Linked DNA regions of Canis lupus familiaris. The protein of the gene in region 5 interacts with the protein of the main gene of each other region in a pairwise test. Links are inferred from orthologs where the notes say so. Each region holds a gene or a part of one and is shown on either strand. Other genes may lie near its edges. The genes, in order: MXI1, ZNF202, ZGPAT, CCDC185, KRT40, DLGAP2 and MTA1.

Region 1 (3,500 bases), on a different chromosome or scaffold from region 5:
GGTGGCGTGCGTACTACCACTCCCGGTGTGCTGTGGGAGGGGCGGGACTACATTTCCCAGGAGGCACAGGAAGGGGCGGGACGGGGCGGGCCTCGGTGCTGCGCCCGCCCCTCCCCCGTGCTCGCGCGGAGAGGTAAACAAACCGCGCGCGGGCTGCCGGCGGCGGCGGCGGGCGCGGCGGGCGCGGGGGGGCCGGCGGGGGCGGCGGGGGCGGCGGAGAGCGCGCCGAGCCGCGGCCGGGCTGGCCCGCCCGCCCGCCGCACATGTCCCGGGGCGGCGCCGGCCTGTAGCCGCCTGCGGCGCCTCCTGTCGGTCAGGAGAGGGAGCGCGGAGAGGCCCCGGTCGCCACCAGCGGTGCCCATGGAGCGGGTGCGGATGATCAACGTGCAGCGCCTGCTTGAGGCGGCCGAGTTTTTGGAGCGCCGGGACCGAGGTAACGGCCGGGCGCCGCTGCCTCCGCCGCCACCTGAGCCCGCGCAGTCCTCGTCGGCGCCAGGAGTGCGGTGCGCCGCGTGAGGGGAGGGCGGGTGCGTGTGTGAGAGCAGGGGTGCGTGAGGAGTGTGTGTGGAGGGCGCGTGTGAGGGGAGGCGCGCGTGCAAGGAGGCGTGTGTGAGGGGAGGGAGGGTGCGTGTGTGAGGAGCGGTGCGCGTGCGACAGGTGCGTGCGTGAGGAGGCGGGTGTGTGTGTGAGGGGTGCGGACGCGAGGAGGGGGGTGTGAGGAGGGAGCGCGCGTGAGGGCGCCCGGAGCCTGCGAGGGGCGGGGTGCGGGGGAGGCCGCGCGGGCCTGTGCGGGCGGGTTGGCGCGCGTGAGCCGGGAGGACTGGGAGGGGGGAGGGGGGCCGAGCCCAGGGAAGCGGGTGTTAAGAGTGGGCGCCAGCCCGAGGACTTGGGAGGAGAGAGGGAAGAGAGAACTGAAGGCACGGGGTGGCGGCGGCGCAGGTAGGGGAGAGCAGCCGAGGCCGGGAGCAGAGGGGGCAGTGCCTGCTGAGGAGCCCGCGGGGAGGAGGATGCACACCTCTGGGGAAGGGACCTCTGAGAAACGGAGCCTGGAAGAGACGTGAAGAGGCTGGGGAGCGGAGAGTAGGAACTCTGGAAATTACGGTGTCAGGGGAGAAAATGTCGTCCGAGAGGAGGCAGTTGGATGGTTTGAAGTAGGTGAAAATGGGGACCTTGGCGAGAGACCTAGGATGGGGAGAGTAAGTTAAAGGGGGATTTTGAGGCCGGTGAAGTAATTGAGGTGGATGGTAGCTAGCCTCAGAAATTAGTGTATTTCAGTCAAGAATTCATGGAGAAAAGGGTTTTGGAGAGGATGGAGATATTTCTTAGAGGTTTAGAGGAAGTATCTGTACACCTTTCAGGTAATGGGGTTGGGTCTGTATATAATGTCACAGGATCGATGTCCTGGCAAGGACTGAGAGTTTTATCTTCCAGCCAAAAAGTGGAAAAATACGACCTCCATTCTATCTGCTATTTTCTGCAACACATTGCTGCAATGACTTTAGATCAGTAGATCCACGGATTTGGGTATATTCCTGTTACCATGTCTTTTTTTCTTGCTATCTCTTTAGAGTGTGAACATGGCTATGCCTCAACGTTCCCCTCCATGCCGAGCCCCCGGCTGCAGCATTCAAAGCCCCCAAGGAGATTGAGCCGAGCACAGAAACACAGCACCGGGAGCAGCAACACCAGCACTGCCAACAGGTAGCAAGCTGGGGAGGTTTAGAAAAGGCTGCTGAGGGAGGGACCACACACACACGCAAAAGTGCAGGGGCTACCGACCTCAGTCCTCTAATATGGAGTCTGGAGCAATGCTGAATAGCCAGCCGAGTTCCTTTACCACCATCCCTGGACATTTGGCCCTATTAAATTCATCAAGTCTAGATATCATAACCTGGCTTTGTGTGGAAGGGAAGGTGTAGAATCCAGAAAGCAACCAAAGAGTTCTTGCTGGGGGTTATTTAATTTTTATTTATTTATGATAGTCAGAGAGAGAGAGAGGCAGAGACACAGGCAGAGGGAGAAGCAGGCTCCGTGCACCGGGAGCCCGACGTGGGACTCGATCCCAGGTCTCCAGGATCGCGCCCTGGGCCAAAGGCAGGCGCCAAACCGCTGTGCCACCCAGGGATCCCTTGCTGGGGGGTTATTAAGTGGGGAAGTCTGTGACTGGAGAGGGTCAGTACCTTGAGAGACTTGATAGCATGTGTCCATGCATGCAACCACATGCCAAAAGTAATTGAGCCAGCTTTAAATTTGGACAGTCCAAGAAGAATTTTTGAAAACCAGAAATAGCTCAGGCAGGATGTAAAGCAGAATCAAGGGTTTTGTTAAAGGAATAAAAATATTTAGTTAGAGTAGGAAGTTAGTGGGCATAATCTATTTGTTTAAGAGTGAAAAGGAAGACCATGCTAGGAAAAGTTGTCTCTTATTTGATAAGATTGAGTTGGTAAAGGAGCTTTAAAACACACACACACACACACAGAAAAAGAAAGACGCTTATTTTTTAGGCCAAAGAGATCCCTAGAAAATGGATGTACTCAGGCATTGTTGAAAACTTCTATTTTTTGAGAACTTTTGGTAGTGTCTGGCTGTCTTTTCAGTATTTTATCCCAGGGGGCCAGAGAATTCTAAGGCTTCAACTCGTAGGAAGTTCTCAGAAGGCCATCTTAAAAATCAACAGATGCTGCTGATTTTTGCTTTTTCCATTGATGAGGAGGAATTCAATGAAGCGTTTTTCTTGATTCCCAAAGCTTTATTTAGAGAATGTGAGCATTTATTTTGGAGAGGCACAGAGCAATCTCTGGGTAACTAAGGTCACCTGAAGTGTTTGGGAAACTCCAGGCAGGTCACTGGGGAGTCACTTGGGGAAACAGGTTGGGAGAGAGCAGGACTAGGGGCTCTTACTAATATTTGCAGGAAATTTGAGGCTTCTACAGATAATAATTAGAGCTCCAAAGGTTGGATCTTCCCACTCTGCATTTTTGATATTGCTGAGGCAAAACTAGGATTCACTCGTCCCTTTTTGACTAATCTTTAAAGCCATGTGTTTCCTTTTTTTGGTTTCTTTGTTAGGACTGTTCGTGTTTTTTAAGTTTAATTTTTAAAATTATAAAAATAGTTATAAGCTTAATATGCTGCATTTATGTTTATGTGTGGGTCTAGAGGATTTTTTATGGTATGATAGGTTTAGGATGAAAATATGTAATACAATCTGCAGTATTTAAAGAAGTAAATATAAATTTTCTCGTTCTTCACAGTTTCTCTGGTTAAGGTGTCAGCAGTTAGAATCTATATCTCAAGAATTCATGGCTTTTTCAGTCCACATGTAGATTTAAAAAGGCTTTTTTTTTTTTTTTTTAATTTAGAGGCACGCAAAGATGGAAAACCAGACCTGGGTTTTGTCACGCTACAAGTATTTACTGAGTCTTTCCTATTTTGTAGAAATCAGATAAATAATCTTACTACATTTTCTTTGTCCTTCATCTCATCTATAAAATGAAGGA
Region 2 (3,500 bases), on a different chromosome or scaffold from region 5:
CTGGGGATTGGAAATGCTGCTCAAGAGAGGGAAAGCGGGACATTATGATTGGTTCAGCAATTCCCTGAGTTAAGAGCAGATCTTTGCTGTCGGGTAGACTGTATAGAACAAATGGACAGCCTGGTCAGTGGATCAAATCTGGTCTTTTTAGCTTGAGCACCTCTCACCAAATCCTGCATATTTCTTGCCCTTCGTCTGCAACTCAATAATCAAGGACTGCTAATACTCCCTCTTTTCCCATATTCAAGCAAGCAGATCATCCTCAACCTCTCAACCTCTATTGCTTGTTTCAAAACTCACATGCTACCTCAAATACACTAAAGCTGTAACATAACTTCACTTTATTAGAAGTTTCCAACCACTTTCTAGGCATCTCTTCCCTTTAACTTGGAAAGATATTGTCTTCCTTAGCTAATCCTTCAATCTCACTGGTGGGGCAGGCATAAGAGAAGCGTGGTGCATACAGTCTAAGGTCTAAGACTCCCACAATTTCCAATAGGAGAAAGACCTCTGGGCTCAGAACACTCTAGAAACACTTGAAATTCCTTACACAAAGAGACCACAATTCCACAGTCTTCTTCCAAGACATATTCTCCATAGAACTCTTTCTGTGCTGGATCCAGATCGCTCCACTGGTCCTGGGAGAAGCACACAGCCACGTCCTTGAAAGTTACCAATCCCTGAAACGACACAGACTTCAGTTGTAACAGGATGCTTCCTGAAGCTCCTAGTTCATTCATGGAATGAAGGTTACTCCAGAAGACAAAAGGAGCACACACAGGACCCTGGGGGCCTTTTGGGAAACCTGCTGCACCCTTGGCTACTGCTCCCCGACTTCCTACTTTTCCATTTCCAACTTCCTCCTCTGGACCTCTCAGTTCCACTGCTTTCTCTCAGGGCCAGCCTCTGCTCTTCTTCTTGAGCATATTGGTTAAAATATATAAGAAAAGTCTTAAAAGTCCTCATTAACTCCCTATTTGATGCTTTGATGCCACCTACATTTGTGCAAAAATTCACCTTTTCTGGAGAGCTCTCCCTAACTGACCTCCAGCCACCCCCGTCACCTACACGGTCGGCACAGCACACACAGGCCCTTCTGCCATAGCGAGACTATAACCCAAAACCACAGATGTGTTCTATTCCTTTCCTCTCCAGTCTCAGTTTAGTGTTGGGGCCCTGACCATGGTGAGAGCTTCCTACGTGGCAAGGCCTGAGTGCAGTCCCTGCCAGTGGACACCACACAGTTCCAGAAGTCATTTCTGCAGCAGACAGCCATTCTTACAAATGACTATCAAGTTCACTACCATAAAACAAAAACAAGCCCTCATTCGGCAACTTCTGGGTTGTAGTGCAGTGTCGTAGAAGAACCCCGTAGAAGAACCCCTTTGGGCAACTGCGTGGCTCAGCAGTTGAGCGTCTGCCTTTGGCTCAGGTCGTGATCCCTGGTCCCTGAAATCGAGTGCCACATCGGGCTCCCCGCAGGGAGCCTGCTTCTCCTTCTGCTTATGTCTCTGCCTCTGTCTCTCTCATGAATAAATAAAAATAAACATATAAATAAAAGAATCCCATTTTGTTCATTTTCCTTCTCTGGTGCAAATAGAGGCTCCGGAGCCTGCAGATCCAACTGAGACTGTTGTAATTCCTCCCATTGGATGCAGACACGTCTAGAACTGAGAACCTAAGTTGGCAAAAGCAGAGTAGAAATATGTGTCCTATCCGACCTGTTCAGTGTACAGCTAATGCCTGGTGGTTCTTCGAATTCTCTGTGGCACAGACATGGACAGAAACTAGAGCACACCTGTGAAAGAGCTGTAAGAAGGGCAACCATCTCTGGGTTTCCGGCATTCCTCTCTTCAGGAAGGTCTGGGTCCTGGGACACTGGAACCTCTACGAAGAAAAGGCGGCAGAGATGAGTGATGTGCAGCGCACCCCTGTAACTGGCAAACAGCTCCCATCCTCTTTGGTAGGAATCAAGAAACTGGTCTAAGGGCAGCTCAAGTCATCCCAATGTCACCATCTGGAACTCTACTGAAATGCCAAGAGGACACCCAAGGATTGGTTGGCTCCTTGACCTTGGCCCAGTTTCTGGGGGAACTCTAGCTACTATTGTCTCAACACCCTGAATTCTATGATTTATTCCCACTCTGCTCCACCTAGCCTCCTTCATAGGCGGGAAACATCCCCATTCCCACACTCTGCCTGCCACTTTGCCCCCTTTCTGTTGAGGCTTCCCACCGCTCTCCCGCAGGGGCTGGAACTCCAATTCATGGCATAGGCTCTGCTCTTCTGGTGGCCTCAGATCTGGGCTCTGGATGGTCTCCTCACGGGACGCCTCAGGAGGCAAGGTATGCACAGGGTTCTGCAGCTCGCAAGGTGACTCGGGGTCTGCTCCTGGATGTATGGTCTCCTCCGACAGGACCTCCTGGCCATGAACATGGACAGTCACCTGGGAATAATTCCAATTTCCAGTCAGCATGGAGTCAAGAGGAAAGTCTCAGTTGACAACAGGGCTTATTTTAGGGAAAGCTACCAACAGAAACACTCTCAGAGGATCCCAGGAGAGGATGGGAGTCTCTGGTTCCATGGAGGCATGCAAGAATTGTTGATGGTTATCCTCATTAGGACAAGGCAGGGACGTTTAGATGCTTCACGGCTTCCTCACTCCCCTCAGCCTACTCCTATCACCCATGGCTCTGAGATACCGGTCCCTCCCATGTCCACCTCTCCCACCTGTAGCTCTCCTTGTGGTTTGCTTCCCTGTCATATTGTCCTGGGAGGGGGATTTGTGCCCAAGAGTCTAGAACCTTTGAGGAAGTCACAAAATTGGCCTCCCCAGGAACTGGAGGTTCGATAGCCAAAGAAAGGAAAACCAAAGCCATATGACCCTAGAGTGCTAAGGGCCCTAAGATGGTCCTTGGCAGGTGTTTAAAAAACCAGAAAGTCACACTCACTCACTCACACACACAGACACACACACACACACATCCCTGCCCCTAATGGATCTAGGGGCAACCCAAGAGCAGAGCCACTTAGTTTTAAAGGGTAAATGATGGGGACTCTGTATGCTCTACCCCCAAATCCATCCTTCCAGCAAATAGTCCCCCTCCACGTCACACAGATCAGGACTCCCCCTCCTCACCCACCGCCTTGGTCTCCTGGGTTGTTTCTGCAAACCCTCCACCAGCGTCACTGCCTCCTCGCCACTCTCTGGCCGTTGGCCCCGCACCCAGCTCTGCAGTTCTCCAGGCAAGACAGTAAGGAATTGTTCCAGCACAAGCAGCTCTAGGATCTGCTCCTTTGTCCGTCTTTCTGGCCTCAGCCACTGATGACAAAGTTCTCGCAGTCGAATGAGAGCTTCTCGGGGGCTTGATGCTTCCTGGTAGCGAAAACGCCGGAAGTTCTGGTGTGAGGTCTCAAGCACAGGGTCATCTCTCTGTAAGACAGACTCTGGCCTACAGGTGAAATCATCTTCCAATTTCACCATCAGAATTCCCTCTTCT
Region 3 (3,500 bases), on a different chromosome or scaffold from region 5:
AAGGAAGGTAGGGCCCAGGTCAAGGGTGGTCTCGCTCCTCTTGGGCATGGAACAGGGCTCTCCAGGAGGGGCCCCGGCTGAGAGGCCCGTGGGCAGCCTCACCAGTTATCCGAGCGGGGTACCAGAGGCCATCCTGCTGCTTGGCCAGACATGCAGAGCCAGCCTGTAGGGAGCTCAGGTCCGGGTCCTGGAAGGGGCGCAGCTCATCCACAGAGACCACCTGCCCATGGGAGAACCTGCCAAGACAGCCGCAGGGAGCAGGGGCTCAGACACAGCGCACTGGGGCAAGTGAACCCAGGAGAACCCAGTCCACCTGCCTGGGCATCAGCCCAAAGGGAGGGAGACACGGCGGACAAACGGACACACGCGCATACACACCCACCCACGTATACACATACATGGGGGCATGCACACGTATACCCCTGCACACAAACAGGCACGTATGTCCACGTGTGCACACTCTCTCATTCTTGGGATGGGCCTGGCTACCCTGGGGATGAGATGCCTCGCATTACCCTCCAGCTCTCCGGGCTAGAGTAACAATGTGGTGGGCAGACAACCATGTGACGAAAGCTCCCCATCGCCTCTCCACCAGAAGGGAGCCCCCCGGCACAAACAGATCGTCGAGGCGGGTGTGTTTGTGCGTGTGCGCTTATGGGACCGAGTCCTTCCCAAATCAAGTAGGAGAACACAGCTGTAACAGTGATGCCTTGATCTTTAGATGTCAGTGAACCAGTGAGATTAAAACCAAAACCGAGAGAGGAGGGGAGGGGAGAAGAGGAGGCAAAGAAAGAGGAAGAAATGTGGGGACAAAGAATGACAAGCTCAACTCTGCCAAATAAAGGCATAAAAGACTAACCACATATCCCCTCTACCGTGCCAGCCTTTCAAAGAGGAAACCGTTTTAACCCTACGAGAGCAACGAGGGTCTGGCATTTCCTGGGTGACGTAGAGCTGACGCTGGCCCTGGCAAGCCCTTCCAGGCGGGACGTGGTGGTGATAATGGGAACGCCAAGGAAGGGCTTCGGTCCTCTCCTATGGGTGGACAAAGATGGCCTCAGACACCTCCCCTGGCAAGATTCTGGGCAGTTTGTTCTCACACCTGATGGTCCTCAGGCCCTCAGGACACTGCCAACGACCAAGTAGGAGCCCAAGTAGTTGCATCAGCAACTCCAAGACTGGGCTCCAAATGCGGTGGTGACTCTGGTTGAAAATCCTCGTTCAGCCAAGGAGGAAGACAATGGGTCCAAAAGGGGGGGGGGGGGCTACACCCAGGACTGAGTTCAACCAAATACCCACTTCAGCACACGCCCCCAGACACATGCCTCCAGAACCACCAATTAACATTTCTCTGCAGGAATATCCAGTGATAATAGAAGCCTGAAAATCTGGTATCCTTCTGAACCCAGGAAAACACACCTAAGAACTGATTCTAGAAAAATAATAATGAAAGTATGCAAAAATTTGCCCCAAAGGATGGTAACTAAATTCAAAAGACTTGGAAATAACCTAAGTTTCCAACCACGGGGAATAGTTAAAGGCATATCCATAAAATGAACTTAAAACTAAAACGAACAGGCAAAGCGATCAATAGAATGAGCAAGAGCACCTGGGAAGAGTAACACACACATGAAAAACCTCACATGTGATGGAGGAAATTCTACACACCGGTCAGGAAAGGATGGACTGCTGGTTCCATAAGGAAAAGATTAGAAACTGGTTTCCCGTATTGAAAAACCAACTCAGGGACGCCTGGGTGGCTCAGCGGTTGAGCATCTGCCTTCAGCCGGGGGCGTGATCCTGGAGTCCTGGGATCGAGTCCCACAGTGGGCTTCCTGCATGGAGCCTGTTTCTCCCTCTGCCTCTCTCTCTCTGTGTATCTTTCATGAATAAATAAAATCTTTAAAAAAAAAAAAAAAAAGAAAAACCAACTCACTGGATGCCTGGGTGGCCCAGGGGTTGAGTGTCTGCCTTCAGCTCAGGTCATGACCCCAGGGTCCCAGGATCGAGTCCCACATCAGGCTCCCTGCAGGAGCCTGCTTCTCCCTCTGCCTATGTCTCTGTGTCTCTCATGAATAAATAAATAAAATCTTCAAAAAAAAAAAAAAAAAGGACAAACCAACTCAGTCACCTACCTCACAACAGTCATGGATGGAAATAATACACTCTAGAATAAAACTAGAATGTGAAAACAAGCACTTAGAACTATATTCTGAGTTCCAGCTGTGGCCAAGTAGAGAAAAACAGGGAAACTAAGCAAAATGGTCCAAACTCACAGCATCAGAACTCTGGAAATGGAATGAAACAGACAACACACTGGTTAGTCATTATTTGTGAAAAACTGTCCAACTTCAGCCCCAGTGGCCCAGCGGTTTAGCGCCACCTGCAGCCCAGGGCGTGATCCTGGAGACCCGAGATCAAGTCCCACGTTGAGCTCCTTGCATAGAGCCTGCTTCTCCCTCTGCCTGTGTCTCTGCCTTGGTCTCTCTGTCTCTCATGAATAAATAAAATTAAAAAAAAAAAAAAAACTGCCCAACTTTGGGACAGAATGGGAGGTGGGAATGTCTGTGGCTTCACAGTGGGGGACATGCCCCGCGTGCCCGCGAGGAGCAGTATGGCAGGGGTGAGACCAGGGATGAGACCTGGGAAAACCATCAGCCCTGAGGCCGTGAGCCCAGCTCAGTGGTCACTTACGATTCACAGGGATACCCAGAAAATGGAACGACCATAGAAGGGCTCCACCCCCCCAAACACCCTGGTTCTCCAGGAAACAAGGTGCACCAGTCAGGACTCCGGCCAGCGTCACGTGAACGGAGATGGGGGCTGCTGAACATGGAATGTGTCCCCCGGCCCACACACACTGACTGATGGGGAGAAGCCTTGAGGGCAAGAGTGGCTGCAAATAACCTCTGCCTACATCACTGCCTGGCCACGAAGCCACACGGACACAGAAGGGACCCCTAAAAAGCCAGGTCAAAAAGTAAATATAAATTTAAGGATCTAAGCAGATATATCAGAAGCTGCGCACTATGAGGGGGGACAGACTTCGTAATCCAGGTCCAGAAAATATATTAAAAGAAAACAAAATACTAAAGAAAACGATTCAAATCCCAGAGCTGCTACAAGACATTACCTGAAATGTACCATTTTCAATAAAAACTCACCAGGCACACAAACAGTAAAGTGGGACCCATATTTAGGAGAAAAAAGCAGTGAATGGAATCTGACTCAGTGGGTCCAAGTGCCAAAATCTGCCATGACCTCAAAGCAGATTGTGGTAAGTTCAAAGAACTAAATGAAAATGTGACAATGATTCAAGAAATAATAAATCTTAAAACATAAATAGAAAATATATAAAAAGAAAAAAAAGAAAATACGTAAAAACAAGACAACAGACGTGAAAAGTCAATAACTGAAATGAGAAACTCACTAGCTGGGACACTGCTGGTCTCCAGCCTGGTGTGTAGGAAGCTGGGAAGTTACCCCTTTGCTGTAACCAA
Region 4 (3,619 bases), on a different chromosome or scaffold from region 5:
TTTGTGACAACCACTAGGTTTCACCATTAATTTCTTTACTGCAGGCCTTTTCAGAGCCTTTAAAACCTTCAGGTGCATTAGAAACAGCTAAGAGGGCACGTGGTGTGCAGGGTTCCCAGACCACTTGTTTGCAGAGAGCCTCCCACTCACCCACTCACACAATCTCTTCTTTCTTGGAGGTTTCCTGTGACTTCACACCTCACGTCACAGTGATTATTTTACTTTCCGTCCCTCAGAGCATCCGTTCCCAATACCAGTTATAATGTGTGAGTTCTGGGATGGCCAAAGACTTAGGACCTGGATCTGAATCCCCTCCTGTGGATTCTTCTCTAGTTCCTCAAGGAGGGGCCTGATGTGCGCTTCTAAGGTTACCGGACAGCGAAATGAGTATTTTCTATTTAAATTGAAACTTAGGAAGGCAAGGCCTTTTCTTAAAATCCCGGCGTGTGTACCCCCAGCCCTCCCAAGTCCCGGCATGAATCAACGAGCGAGTTCAGGAGTGGAAAGTGCAGGTATTTTATATATTTTCTGAAACCTGTGCTGGTGGCGACCCGGTTCTGCAGGGCGTAGAGGTGCCCGCCTCTGCCTCGCCCCGGCGCCGGGCGCCCCGCTCTCAGCACCTCTGCGGCCCTGCCCCGTGCGGGCCCTTGAGCGGCCTCTGCTCCAGGAGGCTGGTGGCCAGCGCGCGGGCCTGGTCCCTCCTCGAGGCCCAGGACAGCTTCTGGAACTCCTGGAAGGCGGCGTCGCTCTCCCGGGAGATCTGCTCCAGCCTCTGCTCCTTCCTCCTGACGGCCTCCTTGATGCCCTCCATGATGCCCTCCACGTGGCCCTTCTCCTCCTTCTTGGCTGTCAGCCTCAGGATGTGACGGAGCTCCTCCCGCGGGACGCTCAGCTCGGGGTTGTGCTGCCCCTTGTCCCTGGCGCTCCTGTGCTCCGGACTCCTGGGCGGCCACCTCTCCAGCTCGGCCAGCTGGGCCAGCAGCTGCTGGTGCGCCCGCGTCTGCACCTCGGTGGCCCCTGCGTGCGGCTGTACCTGCCTGAGCTGCTCCTGCGGCCTCTGTGGCCTCTGTGGCCCGGTCCTCGGCTCGTGCTGGCTGTCGAGGGGCTGCGGGCAGCTCTGCTCCAGGGACAGCTTCCTCAGCAGCTCCTCGGCCTTGGCCTGGCAGTCCAGGAGGACCCTCCGCGCCTGGTGGTTGACCAGCGAGCTGAGGCTGGTCTCCCAGGCCCTGGCCTGGGTCTCTGGTGCCGGCAGCTTCCCCGGACAGGCCTGCATCCCGACCTGCGGCCCATCCTGCTCCCGCGGGCCCTGCACCGCCCCGGGGGGCTCCTGCAGTGGCGGCTCGGGGCCCTGCGTCCGGGGTGCGGGCTGCGCCTCCGAGGCGGGGGCTTCCCCGGGGTGTCCGGACCTGGCGCTGCCCCTGGGCTGGCCGTCCGGCCCGCGGCCCCGCGGCTCCTGCTGCGGCCACTGGGCCGGGCTCTCCGGGCTCTCCGGGCTCTCCTGCAGCAGCCGCCCGCGCTGGCGGCCCAGGGTCGCCTGCACCCTGTGGCCCGAGCACTGGAGCTCCTCCGGGGCCGCCTGCCGCTGCAGCTCCCGCATGCGCCGGGCCCTCTGCAGCCGCGCCAGCACCCCCGCCGCCCTCTGGTCCCCGGGCCGCGCCGCGGCCTCTTGCAGCGGGTCCTGCCGGCTCTGCGCGCTCGGGGGGTCTGCGCGGGGCCCCGCGGCCGGGCCGGGCCGGCTGCCCTGGGACCCCCGCGGCTCGCAGGCGGCCCTCCCGCAGGCGCACGGGCAGGCGCACGGCGGCCGGACCCCCCAGGCCGCCACGGAGGGCTCGTCCGGGAGCCCCGAGGCCCGGGACCAGCGCCCCGCGCCCCCCGCGCGCCCCGCCCACAGGTCCCCGCTCTGCGCCCGCTGCGCCCCGAGGCTCCCGGCGGGCGGGGGCAGGGGCGGGGGCGGGTCTCCCGTGGCCGGGGAGGGCTGCGGGGGCCCCCGGGGCTGCGGGCGGGGCGCGGGCGGGGGCCGGGGCCTCCTGGCGCGGGCGGGGACCCTCGCGGCCACGTGGGTCAGGCTGTGGCTCTCCAGGGGCGAGTCGGGGCACCCCGCTTCCCGAGGGGACCCCCGCAGGGGCGAGCGCGGGGAGCAGCGGCCCAGGCCCAGGCCCTCCATGCTGCGCCCCTGTGCGCCCCGCGGGCCGCGGCCCCTCCCGAGCCCCACCCGGGCCTGTGACGCGGCGGCCACTTCACAAAGGGGGGCCTGGCCTCGGGGCTGCGGGAGGGGGGGCTGCGGGGGATGGGGGAGGGGGAGGGGCTGGCCTCGGGGAGTGCGGGCGGAGGGGAGGGAGGGGGCTGTGGGTGGGGGAGGGAGGGCCGAGGGTGGGGGAGGGGAGGGGGAGGGGGCTGCGGGTGGGGGAGGGGGGCCTGGCCTTCCGGGGCTGGGGAGGGGAGCGGGGCTTGGGGGCTGCGGGGGGGGGGGGGGGGGTGTGAGGGTGGGAGGGCCTGGCCTTCGTGGGTTGCCGGGGGAGAGGGCTGGCCTTCGAGGTCTGCGGGGAGGGGGCCTGGCCTTCAGGGGCTGCTCCGCGGGGTGCCGGGTACTGGGGGGGCACAGGTGCACCTGGAAGGAGCTGGCTGGAGGCAGACCGCAGCGCGGACTGCGGGCATGGTGGGGGGCACGGGCCGGGCCACGCCTCCGAGGTTTGCAGAGCTCCAGGCTTGCCTCCTGCGCTGGAGCAAGCCCACCCCTGTGTGTTTTGTTTGCCTGTTTTCAACTGAAGTTAATATAGGGGTCTGCAGAAGTTTCTGCAGATTTCCTAACTCAAGAAAAGAATGAAAAAAAAAAAAAAAGAATGGAATTAGGGCAGTTCTAAAGCAGGCTCCATGCGGAGCATCTCGGGGTGTCCTGCTGTCTGGGGGTGCAGTGGGGAGGCCTGTCTGGGCCTCAGTCTCCGGGTACGGCCACCTGCAGAGGAGCGGGATGAGCAGGGGTCCTGCTGTCCCCTTCACCCGCATCTCCTGGCCACCTCGCATCAATCCCACCAGGCAGGGCCTATAGGATTGATAACAAGTCCTTAAGACAAACCTGAGACCCTGGAGGTCACCTGGCCCATGGCAGGGGTTTTCAGACTCACCCCTTTGTCCACGTCAACATGCGCCTCTCAGGACGTGCGCTTGGGGTTGGGGGTGCTGTGTCCCTGACCTGGGAGCCCACCGCCCTCGGGCCCCACTAGTGGATCAAGGCCCAAACACCCCGTGGGTTGGTCCTTGGGGGCCGGCCTTTGCGAGGTGCGTAGGGTCCTTTGCAGGATGAGGGTGAGGCCCCATGCTGGCATCAGTGTCCGCCCTGCTGGTCACGCCTCCACGAGGAGGATGGGGCTTGGGGTCCCCTGTGTGGGCCCAGGTGTCCGTGCGGCGTGACCCGATCGGGCCTGTATTTCGGGACTCAGCCGGCAGCAGTATGGACGGTCAATCGGGGAGAAAGGCCGGGGAGGAGATCTGTGCAGTAATCCGGTGGGGGGTCGGTAAGCCTGACGGTGGCCGGGGGACAGGAGGCGGTGGACAGGCCTGGCCCCGGGGCCGGGGGTGGTTCCGCCTGGAGAGGCCATGATGCACTTCGGGGAGGGGCCCT
Region 5 (3,583 bases):
TTGCTGTTCCTTGAATATGATTCTAGTTGGTTTGGCTTCTTCCACCTTTCAGAATCTGCTTATATTTCTTTTATATGTAATTTCCCTGGTTTTCAGCCAGACTTAGGAAGAGGAATGAGGAAATGTACATCCATTTCATTTTTTTGGAGGTGGAGTTCTCCACTTTGCTTTTTAAATGTGTATGAATAATTATTCTTATACCCCAAATGTCCAATAACAGGCCAATAACCTTATGGTATTTTATGTAGCCACTAAAATAACAGTCACAGGACAATCTTATAGGTTTATTTGGATTGAAAATGCTTACATGACATAGTGAAAAAAGTAGTTTACTCAACTATGTGCATATGTAAATATGATTTCCATTATGTGGAAAAACCTATTATATGAAAGAAAGCTGGAAGCTCCCAAAATACTGATAACGGGTGTTTGGGGGTGGAATTGTAACTAATTTTTTCCCCTTTCATGTGCCAAATTGAGAAAAAAATGGAATCCTGTACTTTTATAATTACAAATAAGACATTTATTCTTAAATTTCCTCTTAGAAAGATACATACAACTGTCTTCCAAGATGTATGACATTTTGCATGGATTAGTTAAACTTTTGTATTTGAGGAGTTAAAAACTATTTTCAGCCTCGGTTTGTGCAAAATCAAACTATCGACATGGGTTTAGGCATCACATGGTTCTTATATCCACAGTTATAAGCCACAAAGCTATATTTACCATGCTAAAGGAATGAAACATATTTTATTTGGAGATTAGCAAGAAAGCTTTATAGACTCCTAGAATATCACTAATAAGCAGGCAGGAGAGGAAATGACAAAGCAGAAATATAATGGGGATGTTTAGAGGACAAATTTAGGGTAGAAACCCCTTCTTGACTTTTAGATTTGGATGCATCTGATTGAAGTCCCATCTCCTTTCCAGGACACTGCTGGCTTTGACTCCTCTATCCACTGCGCCGAGGGTTGAACATTCATGCACAGTAGTTTTCGACCGTGCAAATCAGATACGCTGAGCATGCCTCACAAGTGTTGCTTGATGTGCTTATTGTAGAACACGGGTTACAAGGAAGCCTGTGGAAATTTTGAAGTAAGCTTAACAAGGGAAATCCAGGTAAAATTTCAACTCAGAAAAGATCGTGCCAAAATTTGCCCTGCAAATGATGTTCTGAACACTCTTTGCAGAGTAGCATTTGACCTAAGCCTATTTCAGGCCTAGATTCAGCATTGCCACTAGGAATGCTCACTGCCCCTGTGCCAGTTGAATACACAGTTTTGTGTATTTATTTCACTTTGCAAATGTTATCTTATGCATGTTCCTGATTTCTCTTTGGTGGAAGTCAGGAACAAAGGGGGACGCCCAGCATGAAATTTTGTATGTGATACTTATTCTGCTTTAGAACTTTGGAATACTTTTGAATACTTCTACTGTCATGTGATTAGCCTCAGCTGTTTTTTTTGTTGTTGTTGTTTTGTTTTGTTTGTCTTTTTACTCTTGTAAGGAGATCATTTAACACATGAGGGAGGTTTCACCTTGGGCAGACCTTGAGGAGGCAAGATTCTCTTGCATGAGCTTCTTTGTGACTTGGGGGATTTTGAGAATAATCGTGTGGAACTTGCCTGCTGTCTTCACTCTCAAGGAGACCTCGGTATGTGTTGATCTCACCCTCCAGCAGAGCCTTTGTGTCCAGCAGCACCTCATACTCCTGGTTCTGCCGCTCCAGGTCACAGCGGATCTCAGCCAGCTGGTTCTCCACGTTATCAATCAGGCACTGCATCTGGGCCAGCTGGGTGCTATACTGGGCCTCCGTCTCTGCCACAGTGCATTCCAGAGACTCTGTCTGCAGAAGAAAAAGAGTATATTCAGAAGGGCTGTGTAGCATAGTCCTTGGGGCCAGAGTGCTGGTTTTCAAATCCTTGATCTACCCTAGTGCATCTATGTGACTTTGGGAAAATTACTTAGCTTCTCTGAGGCTGTTTTATTTTATAAAAAATGACCAATGCAAAGTACTTATTTCATAGGATGGTTGTGCGGATTGAATGAATTAATATGTGTAAAACACTGTGAACAGTGCCTGGAAAAAATTTCAAAACTGTGCAAGGGTTAGTTATTACTATCACCACTTGCCCATCACAACCTGTAATATATATTAAGGAAGATCAACAGCATTTGAGGGGAGAAGTTGAGTATGGACTTGGGGCAGGAAAGAGCCATATAGAATGGTTCAGAGAAGAGGCTCTGGGATTGAACCAGCTGGATCCAGCTTCCACTTTTGCCTCTTAACAACTGCATGAAAAAAAAAAAAAAAAAAAAAAAAACAACTGCATGACCCCTGCTACTTAATCTGAGTCTCAGTCTTCCTCATCTGATAATGGGTTTAGTAAAAGGATTTATCCCATCAAGTTATTATGAGGCGTTTAAGCCTCTCACAAGATAAATATGTAGCTATTATTCACCCAGATAGTCTCTATAGGCCCCAATGTGGCACAGACAGTGGTGTCTGACTGGAACTGGCTAATGTGATCTTCAATGCATGGTATCCTTTTTAAAAAAATTTTTTTTTAAAATAACCTCTATGCCCAGCATGGGGCTTGAACTCATGATCCTGAGATCAAGAGTCACATGCTCCTCTGACTGAGCCAGCCAGGCTCCCCAGTGCATAGTATTTTCATTGCTGGGTGAAATGGGGTGGAGTGAAGGGTCCAGTTGAGGTGTGGATCCTGGAAAAGCTTAGGGTAGTGGAAGAATGCAAAGTTTGAATATTATTCTTTTATATGATGCTGAGTTTGAGAAGTTGGCCCAAATCAAAGCACAATTAAAACCCACTGGAATGCTTCAGTGCCTTCAGCTCAGAGGTTCCACTCTCATTCTGCTCCTGCCCTCCTGTTCTTTTTCTGTCTCTGGAAGGTGCTGCAGGATCATGCTCAAGCCCAGGAGGGAAGGTCAGGGAATCCTGTTGGGACAGTACAGACTGTTGACCTATCACTTCTGCTTCTAGCTCAGTAAACAGCAGTATTTGGGTAAGTCAAAGAATACAATCCTTGCATATTGGAAATTCAGACTTTCTGCCACATGAACTGTGGATCTCTCCTTGGGTTCATGGAAGAGGGACTAGCATCTCAGGGCTTAATTCTTCAGTGACAAAAACAGAGCTGTCTTTCCCTTACATACCAGGCTTTGCTGTGCTTGGAGCTCAATTTCCAGAGCATTGGCTGTGCGTTTCAGTTCCAGGATCTCTGTCTGGCAGTCTTGCAGCTGCTCTGCGCTGCACAGCTGCTGCTGATTCAGCTCCTCTGTCTGTAAACCAGGTATGATTAGAGGATGCAAATAAGGCAGAAGTCTGGAAGCTTGTCATTTTCTTGCTCTGGGTACTGACCTGAACAGCAAACCATTCTTCCACGTCTCTACGGTTGTTGGCCAGCACGGTTTCATACTGACAACGCATCTCTTCCAGGACCCTGTTGAGGTCGATGGTGGGGGCAGTGTCCAGCTCTACACTGAGTCGGTCACCCAACTGTCCACGAAGCAAGTCAACCTCCTGAAAGAGGAAATGGAGTAAAGAAAGTCACAGAGTGGT
Region 6 (3,500 bases), on a different chromosome or scaffold from region 5:
TATCAGAACGGTGAGTCACCACCCCACTAAATGTACCCTAAACAGATAATAAATTTGGACAAATGCATGTGGACAGTCTGAGACACCCATCGGCCACAGCCCGCTGGGGAGCAGGTTCAAATTCTTCGCCACGGCAATGGCCCCTCCAAACCACTCAGGGTCTAATATCTACCCAGGTAAACAACGTGTGGAATTTGATGATTAAGAGAGAAATGTGGGGAAAGATAATTAGTAATTTAAAGGCAATTTCTCTCTTCATAGGTTAGCACCGTAAGTCCTAACAGCTAGAGAGCAACACACCAATTAGTTTCCTAATTTATGGATCCTGCAGCCTTTTACTCCGTAAGCTATGTAAAGCCCATGTAAACTCATCTCTGTGTTTCCATTTGTAGGATGACTGACACGTTGTTCTATCACAGCAGCCATCTCGACACATAATGTCAGGGCACAATTCCCAAGGATGTCACCTATCCTCTTGAAATGGATAATTTAGGGGCATCTTGGGGGCTCAGCGGTTGAGCGTCTGCCTTTGGCTCAGGGCGTGACCCCGGGGTCCCAGGATCGAGTCCCGCATCGGGCTCCCTGCATGGAGCCTGCTTCTCCCTCTACCTGTGTCTCTGCCTCTCTCTGGGTCTCTCATGAATAAATAGATGAAATCTTAAAAAAAAAAAAAAAGAAATGGAGAATTCATAGCAACCTAGCAAATATACAAAGGAATTCACAGAAAAAAAGAAAAAATACTTTAAAGGGAGCAAGATCTGTTAGGTCAAGACATTCAGAGCCAGACGCGCTGTAGCAGATCTGCCCTGTGGGCCCCAGGTTGGGGCGTCACAGGGATTCCCGCTCAGCATGGGGCCAGGAGGGCCGGAGCAATCTCTGCTCATCTCCAACCTCTCCCTGGCATAAAGCCAACTCAGGGGCACCTGGGTGGGTCCGTCAGGTAAGTCCAACTCTTGGTTTGGGCTCAGGTTGTGATCCCAGGGTCCTGGGATTGAGCCCCCTAGTGGGCTCCCTGCTCAGTGTGGAGTCTGCTTCTCCCTCTCCCTCTGCTCCTCCCCAGCTCACATAGGCCCTCTCTCGAATCAATAAATCAATCAAACTTTAAAAAAATAAAACCAACTCAATTCCTTGTACACATGGGACAGTAAAGGTTCTAGAAACCCGTGGAAACACTCCACGTCAAGTCACTGCCAGAATTCAGGAGAATGGGTACGTGGGGAGAGGTACAGGACCCACCGAGCCACAGTCAGCGCCTGTCAGGCTCATGAGCTAATAAACCCCCAAAGGATCCCTGTGGACGCTTTGGCAGTTGCTTTTCTGTTCACTTACTTATCTGTTTTCTGGGAGTTGAGTGGGATGCGGTGGGAAGCACGTTTGTTTTAATCAACCCAAGAATCAGAGGTGGCTTCTCCCACTCACACTGCCATTTGCCCGTTTGCTCTACTGACCCAGGACCCGTGTCATACGCCGAGGGGAGGCTGTGCTCTTACTTTCCTCTGAGAGGTCATTCTCCTCTGCCTCTCGCTCCATGTCCTTACACCAGCCTTCCATCCTCTTCGTCTCTGTGTGCAGCAGCTTCACAAACCATGAGCCATCCCTCCGGCACGGGGACATCCTGCCGGTTTCCGCTGTCTCCATGGACGGCTCCAGCCAGGGGTCTGCAGGGGGCAGGGTGGCAGTGTCCACGGGGGTCCTGTAGTCTTCTCTGTAACTGAAGAGCCCCTGGGTCCGAACAGTTCTTACTGCCCCGTACTGGGTGGGCGTGCTGGGCTCCGAGTGCCGCTGGAAGGAGGGACCAAACTGCAGCCCTTTGTCCTCGGTGCTCACGGGGAAGCCCTCCAGCTCCAGGTCTGCTTGCACGGCGGCTGTCACGCTGTTTGAACGCTTGAAACGTCCGTGTCTGCGGAGGAGAGACGGAAAAGGAATGGAACTTTCTGAGCTGACTTTGTGCAGCAAACCCTCCCCGAGCTCACACGCGATACTCCTGCGCTGCCCCAAACAAATAACTCAAGGGAAAGAGGAAACTTTTCATCTTTTTACTACAATTTTGGTGTTTCAGCCATGAAAGAACATTGGGTTTTGCAAATGATTAACCTCTGACATCTACCTAAGTCTCAAGGCCTAAAAAATGCCCACTTAACCTCAAGCGCATCGCAGGAGGCCATAGGGGTGACGTACTCCAGGAAACCCCTGCCTCGCACAGTTACTGCCCTTTACAAATACACTGCAAGTTCACAAAACTTCCCTGTGTTGCATCCAGGTAACAGGAAGGCTGTGTTGCTCCTTTTATGTAAATGGCTTCCGTACCCTACTGAGTTTCAGTGACACATTTCAGGGCATGAGTCTCTTCTCCTATTGGAATAACTTCATATCATCCCCATTAAGTCTCTTGTGCAAAATAAGGAATCCAAATTCCAGCTTTAGCAGGTGTTTTAAAAACATTTCCATCCCGTGTATTGGAAGGCCACCCGTTCCCACACAGTTACTGAAGTGATGGGCAGGAAAAGGCTTATAATTGGAGTCCGGATATCACTGGGTGAGAACTGTATGTGTGGGGTGGGGGCGGGGGCATCCAAATGAACCTGAAGTATACATTTTGGCTTCTCACCAACTGAACCCTCATCTGGCAACAGCTGTGTGTGCAGCTGGTTAATGAGTCTGCCACTTAGTGTCTTTGCTGGAGGCAAGGAAAGGGAGAAGAAGCTGGTGATGGCGACGGAGGCCAGCAAGCCCAGGTCCCCATGCAGAAGCCGTCTGCATCCTAAGTGGTCTACAGGGAACCTGGGAAGCCATTAGTTTCTGGTCTGAATTTCTCTGCAATCAAAATCTTTATTGGCTGGGTCCTAAAACCCTCCACGATGAGCTATGTCACCCGGGGCTTTGCCAACTAGACGCTAACTGAAGTTGCAGATGTAACGGTGCTCTCATTAAAATTAGTTATTTATGAAATTTACAAGATATATCTTTTAAATATAAAATAATCACCCTGTCCTTGTGACAAAGATAACATTACTGTAATAGGCACCCCTGTATGTTTTGGTTTGAAATCATGCTGTAGCTAAGGTTTTCACTTTCTTTCTTCTCTTTCATTCACTTTTAACATCATCAGGTAAGGAGACTCATCTGATTCACCCTCAAGCCCATCTGTTCCTCCTTTGGATGAAGAACTTTGGCTTTCAGGGCTGTCAGCAACTCTGCTTTCATAAGTGGTAAATTATGTTGGAAATAATTATTCCCCTGCTTCTTGCAAAAACAAGACGCAGGTGGATGTTAATTCATAATTGTACGATAAGTTGAAAAGTATAAATATATGACCCTGTTTCCACAAGACATGAATTATTGATGGTCAGCATGATCTAGATATTTGCAATCAGGTTCTAACGGATCGCTCCTGCTTGGGAACATTGTCTATTTTGAAGGGGCTGAGTTACCGCTTCTCGTCTTCCACTTGGATGCCAACAGAGTGGTATTCCCGCAAGCCTCGGCTCTCTGTGTCAGAA
Region 7 (3,500 bases), on a different chromosome or scaffold from region 5:
CCGGTTAGATGGAGAGAGGCCAGGACCAAACCGCAGTAACATGGTAAGTGGGCACCCCTCCCCGCCCCCACGCGTGGCCGGGCGCCCGGCCCGCGGTCATGGCGCTGTGTCGGGGCGGCGCGCCCCCTTCCGCAGAGCCCCCACGGCATCCCAGCCCGGAGCAGCGGGAGTCCCAAGTTTGCCATGAAGACGAGACAGGCCTTCTATCTGCACACCACCAAGCTCACCCGCATCGCCCGGCGCCTGTGCCGAGAGATCCTGCGCCCGTGGCACGCTGCCCGGCACCCCTACATGCCGATCAACAGCGCGGCCATCAAGGCGGAGTGTGAGTGCCGCCCCCCAGCCCCGGGCTCGGTCCTCGGAGGAGGGGCTCACCAGTGTGCGGGGCGGCTGGCGGGTATGGGGGTTCTGACCCCGGGCTCCCTTCTGTGTGCCGGGCCCCCACAGGCACGGCCCGGCTGCCCGAAGCCTCCCAGAGCCCACTGGTGCTGAAGCAGGCCGTGCGGAAGCCCCTGGAAGCTGTGCTCCGGTACCTAGGTAAGCCTGCCCCGCCCCAGCCCCGCGTGGGCAGCCTGGCAGCGGGCGCCTGCAAGGGAGGGAGCCGGCCTCCGTGCTGCCACCGAGCCAGGCCTGGAGGGGCCCTTGGGGCCTGAGCTGCCGTGGCCCCCGGCACGTATTTGTATTTGTATTGCTTTGTATTGCTGCAGCGCGTGGGGGCTTGGGGGGGTCCAGGGGGGCCTGGGGGGGGTCCAGGGTTTGGCCGCACGGACTCAGGACAGGCTTCGGGCATCCACTGCAGACACCTGCAGGATGGTTCTTCACCCCCAGCCCAAGCGGACGGCCCATTGCCGCGTGAGCAGCACACATGCCTGGTCTGCAGCCCACGGGGGGGTCCTCGGCTGGCACCCCTGGGCTCGGCTTTGCCCACTGCTCAGCCAGCCATGGGCGGCTTGTCCTGGGGGCTCACCAGGGTGCTTGGGGGCAGGAGGGAGCTGGCCCCTGTGCTGGGCTCAGGGCGGGATCGTGAGTCAGTCCCTCCAGCGTGGAGGTGGCTGACCTTCTGTGAAGGACATTCCAGAACCATGACCTAATCGCGTTCCACGTGGACACAAGTGGGTTTGGCGTCATCAGATGTCTAGGGTCTGGGTCGGGGGGCTGGGCCTTGCCCCATCTTGAGAGCTACCGGGGCCCGGGGGGGTTGCTTGGCAGGTCCGAGCCTGAGCCTGCGGCCGGCCGGCGCTGAGGGGGGGCGTGGCCTTGGCTGGGCCAGCCTGGCAGTTAATTCATCACCTGGCCGGCGGCCAGCCTGCTGCCATCAGCTCCGGTGGCCTGGACCTAGACACCTCTGATGGGCCTGCTTGTTTATGGGCCTGTGTCTGGAGCCTGGAAGCTGCTGGCAGTCACCCAGTGATCTGTGGGGCCCAGGCCTGCCTCGCTCTCCCCGCTCCTCGGACACCCTGATGGGCAGGGCCGGCGGTGTGCTCCCCCGGCCGGCCCCGTGGTCGACCTCCATCGGGATGGGCCCCGGGGGCTGCTCGAGCCATTCCCTAGCCACAGTGAGCCCCCGCTGTTGCTCCCAACAGAGACCCACCCCCGCCCCCCCAAGCCCGACCCCGTGAAGAGCGTGTCTGGCGTGCTCGGAGGCCTGACCCCGGCCAAGTCGGCCCCCGTCATCAACAACGGCTCCCCCACCATCCTGGGCAAGAGGAGCTATGAGCAGCACAACGGGGTGGACGGTGAGTCTCCGGCGGGGCGGCCAGGCGGGGCCTCCTCTCTGGGCCGGCGCGGCCTGCTGGCCTGGGGGTGCCCGGCCGGCCCTGTCGCTGCCTCGCCCGCGCCCGCTGATGGTGTTCTCTCTCCCTCTCTCTCCCGCCGTCGGGCGCTGGCAGGCAACATGAAGAAGCGCCTCTTGATGCCCAGTAGGGGTAAGGCCTGCGGCGGCCGCTGGCAGGGTTGCTGCGCGAGCCCCCGTGCGCTGCCTGTGTGTGCTGTACCCTTGCGTGCATGGTGCACGGCGGGCGGCTCAGGGCTCGCCCAGGGGCCAGTCCACGCGGGCCGGGCCGCACCCTGCTTCCCCGCGCTCCCCCGGTTCCCCTGTCGCTGGGCAGAGAGCCAAGTGCGGCCTCACGGGTCCCCCATCGCACGCACCCGAACGCCGTCTCCTTCCCCGGGGCCTCTGGCTCGTGGGGTGTCCCCTCCTTCCCGGCCCAGTGCCCGGTCAGTGGACTGTCCTTGCTCGTGTAGCCCTGGTGCCCCCGCCGCCTGCCTGTACTGTCTGCCGTCGCGCTGTGACCGCCTGCATGCCGTCAGCCTCTGCTCCCGCGGCTGCCCGCGCTGTGCCTACGACCCTCCTGTGCGCCCTGCCGTGGGGGGGGGGGCTTTGGGACCCCGGCCTCTCTGGTGGGGGCAGATAGGACCGAGCTGTGGGCCTGGCCGGCAGGGCTGGGGGAGGCACGCAAGGCCCAAGGGAATGTCCAGGCCAGGGCCTGACGGGGAGGCACGCGGGGCCAGGTGTCCCAGAGCAGAGGCAGCACGCTCCGAGTGGGGCCGGACGCCCAGGGGAAGGGGGGAGGCTGGCGGGGGGGAGCAGGGGCCATGGGACCCTGCCGCCACCCAGTGCCCCGGTGGTTGGCGCTTCGGGAGCGGGCCTCCTGATCGTCCAGGCCAGTGCACAGTCACTGCCCCAGTGGCTCAGGGCCTGGCTTTGCCCCCTCAGCTGGGCGAGGGGCATCCACGGGCTCTGAGACCGCGCCACAGTGAGGTGCTAAGAGGGGTGGCCGTGGTGGCAGCGAGGGGCCTGTGGGCCCCGGAGGCTCTGGCCCCCCAGCGTCCGCCCGCAGCGGGATCCGTGTGGAAGGGAGGCAGGGACAGGGGAAGCAGGTCAGAGGCCCTGCTGACAGAGGCTCGGGGTCATGGTGCGGGCCAGCGAGCACAGACGTGCCCAGAGTTCCTGCTCACACAGGGCTGGGGAGCTGCTGCCAAGGAGTGGGCCAGGCATGGGGACCTGCGAGGGGCAGCAGGCAGTGGCCATCTGGCCTCGCCTTGCCCTGGGCCCTGCCCCCTGGCCTGCCCTAGGCCCCCGGTGCCCGGCTGTCTCTCTTCGTGAGCCCCTCCGTGGGGGCTCCTGCCTCCTGGCCGCCAGCCCCCCACGGTCAGCCCCCCATGGTCAGCCCCCCACAGGGCCTGCCACGGGCCCTGGTGCTAGTTAGCAGGTATCTTTGCTGTGCTTTGGGGCTTTGTTTGCAAAAAGCCATTAACGAGCGAGGTGGATAAAGTTAATTTGCTTCTATCGGTTTGTCCAAAGTGACATGTTTGCGCATCTGCTCGGGTCCAAGCATGAGGGTCCCAAGGGCGCCGTTGCTGGGCGCCTCCCCCAGGAGCCCTGGCGCCACCCACAAGCCCTGCAAGCAGCGGCAGCTGGCCTCCTGAGGCGCCCCCGGGCAGCCCGCGGGCAGGAGCTGAGCTCTGGGCCGGCCCGGACCCTGGCACCCTTGGGGCCT

What was found.
Region 1: the proteins of KRT40 (region 5) and MXI1 interact in binary tests that used the Homo sapiens proteins (3 or more experiments, as listed by UniProt). The two-hybrid records come from large-scale screens. The link is inferred for Canis lupus familiaris from reciprocal best matches to the Homo sapiens genes KRT40 and MXI1.
Region 2: the proteins of KRT40 (region 5) and ZNF202 interact in binary tests that used the Homo sapiens proteins (3 or more experiments, as listed by UniProt). The two-hybrid records come from large-scale screens. The link is inferred for Canis lupus familiaris from reciprocal best matches to the Homo sapiens genes KRT40 and ZNF202.
Region 3: the proteins of KRT40 (region 5) and ZGPAT interact in binary tests that used the Homo sapiens proteins (3 or more experiments, as listed by UniProt). The two-hybrid records come from large-scale screens. The link is inferred for Canis lupus familiaris from reciprocal best matches to the Homo sapiens genes KRT40 and ZGPAT.
Region 4: the proteins of KRT40 (region 5) and CCDC185 interact in binary tests that used the Homo sapiens proteins (3 or more experiments, as listed by UniProt). The two-hybrid records come from large-scale screens. The link is inferred for Canis lupus familiaris from reciprocal best matches to the Homo sapiens genes KRT40 and CCDC185.
Region 6: the proteins of KRT40 (region 5) and DLGAP2 interact in a two-hybrid assay, tested with the Homo sapiens proteins (2 studies listed by BioGRID). The link is inferred for Canis lupus familiaris from reciprocal best matches to the Homo sapiens genes KRT40 and DLGAP2.
Region 7: the proteins of KRT40 (region 5) and MTA1 interact in binary tests that used the Homo sapiens proteins (3 or more experiments, as listed by UniProt). The two-hybrid records come from large-scale screens. The link is inferred for Canis lupus familiaris from reciprocal best matches to the Homo sapiens genes KRT40 and MTA1.

Annotation. Positions count from the first base shown.
Region 1 is NC_049249.1:21,816,743-21,820,242, forward strand, and holds part of MXI1 (max-interacting protein 1), read left to right. Parts: exon of another isoform or gene 1-26; intron 27-215; exon of another isoform or gene 216-360; coding exon of another isoform or gene 361-433; intron 434-1,568; coding exon 1,569-1,701; intron 1,702-3,500. UniProt on the Homo sapiens protein: Transcriptional repressor. MXI1 binds with MAX to form a sequence-specific DNA-binding protein complex which recognizes the core sequence 5'-CAC[GA]TG-3'. MXI1 thus antagonizes MYC transcriptional activity by competing for MAX.
Region 2 is NC_049226.1:10,746,051-10,749,550, reverse strand, and holds part of ZNF202 (zinc finger protein 202), read right to left. Parts: coding exon 3,140-3,500; intron 2,447-3,139; coding exon 2,236-2,446; intron 1,888-2,235; coding exon 1,799-1,887; intron 681-1,798; coding exon 551-680; intron 17-550; coding exon 1-16. UniProt on the Homo sapiens protein: Transcriptional repressor that binds to elements found predominantly in genes that participate in lipid metabolism.
Region 3 is NC_049245.1:48,110,382-48,113,881, reverse strand, and holds part of ZGPAT (zinc finger CCCH-type with G patch domain-containing protein), read right to left. Parts: intron 237-3,500; coding exon 103-236; intron 1-102. UniProt on the Homo sapiens protein: Transcription repressor that specifically binds the 5'-GGAG[GA]A[GA]A-3' consensus sequence. Represses transcription by recruiting the chromatin multiprotein complex NuRD to target promoters.
Region 4 is NC_049259.1:24,499,196-24,502,814, forward strand, and holds CCDC185 (coiled-coil domain-containing protein 185), read right to left. Parts: upstream 2,165-3,619; coding exon 614-2,164; 3' UTR 501-613; downstream 1-500.
Region 5 is NC_049230.1:21,662,831-21,666,413, reverse strand, and holds the end of KRT40 (keratin, type I cytoskeletal 40), read right to left. Parts: exon of another isoform or gene 3,545-3,583; coding exon 3,383-3,544; intron 3,315-3,382; exon of another isoform or gene 3,304-3,314; coding exon 3,178-3,303; intron 3,027-3,177; exon of another isoform or gene 2,914-3,026; intron 1,847-2,913; coding exon 1,626-1,846; exon of another isoform or gene 1,508-1,625; intron 1,120-1,507; exon of another isoform or gene 1,080-1,119; coding exon 980-1,079; 3' UTR 501-979; downstream 1-500. UniProt on the Homo sapiens protein: May play a role in late hair differentiation.
Region 6 is NC_049258.1:30,702,103-30,705,602, reverse strand, and holds part of DLGAP2 (disks large-associated protein 2), read right to left. Parts: coding exon 3,432-3,500; intron 1,901-3,431; coding exon 1,491-1,900; intron 1-1,490.
Region 7 is NC_049229.1:73,174,746-73,178,245, forward strand, and holds part of MTA1 (metastasis-associated protein MTA1), read left to right. Parts: coding exon 1-43; intron 44-135; coding exon 136-325; intron 326-447; coding exon 448-537; intron 538-1,583; coding exon 1,584-1,736; intron 1,737-1,889; coding exon 1,890-1,925; intron 1,926-3,500. UniProt on the Homo sapiens protein: Transcriptional coregulator which can act as both a transcriptional corepressor and coactivator. Acts as a component of the histone deacetylase NuRD complex which participates in the remodeling of chromatin.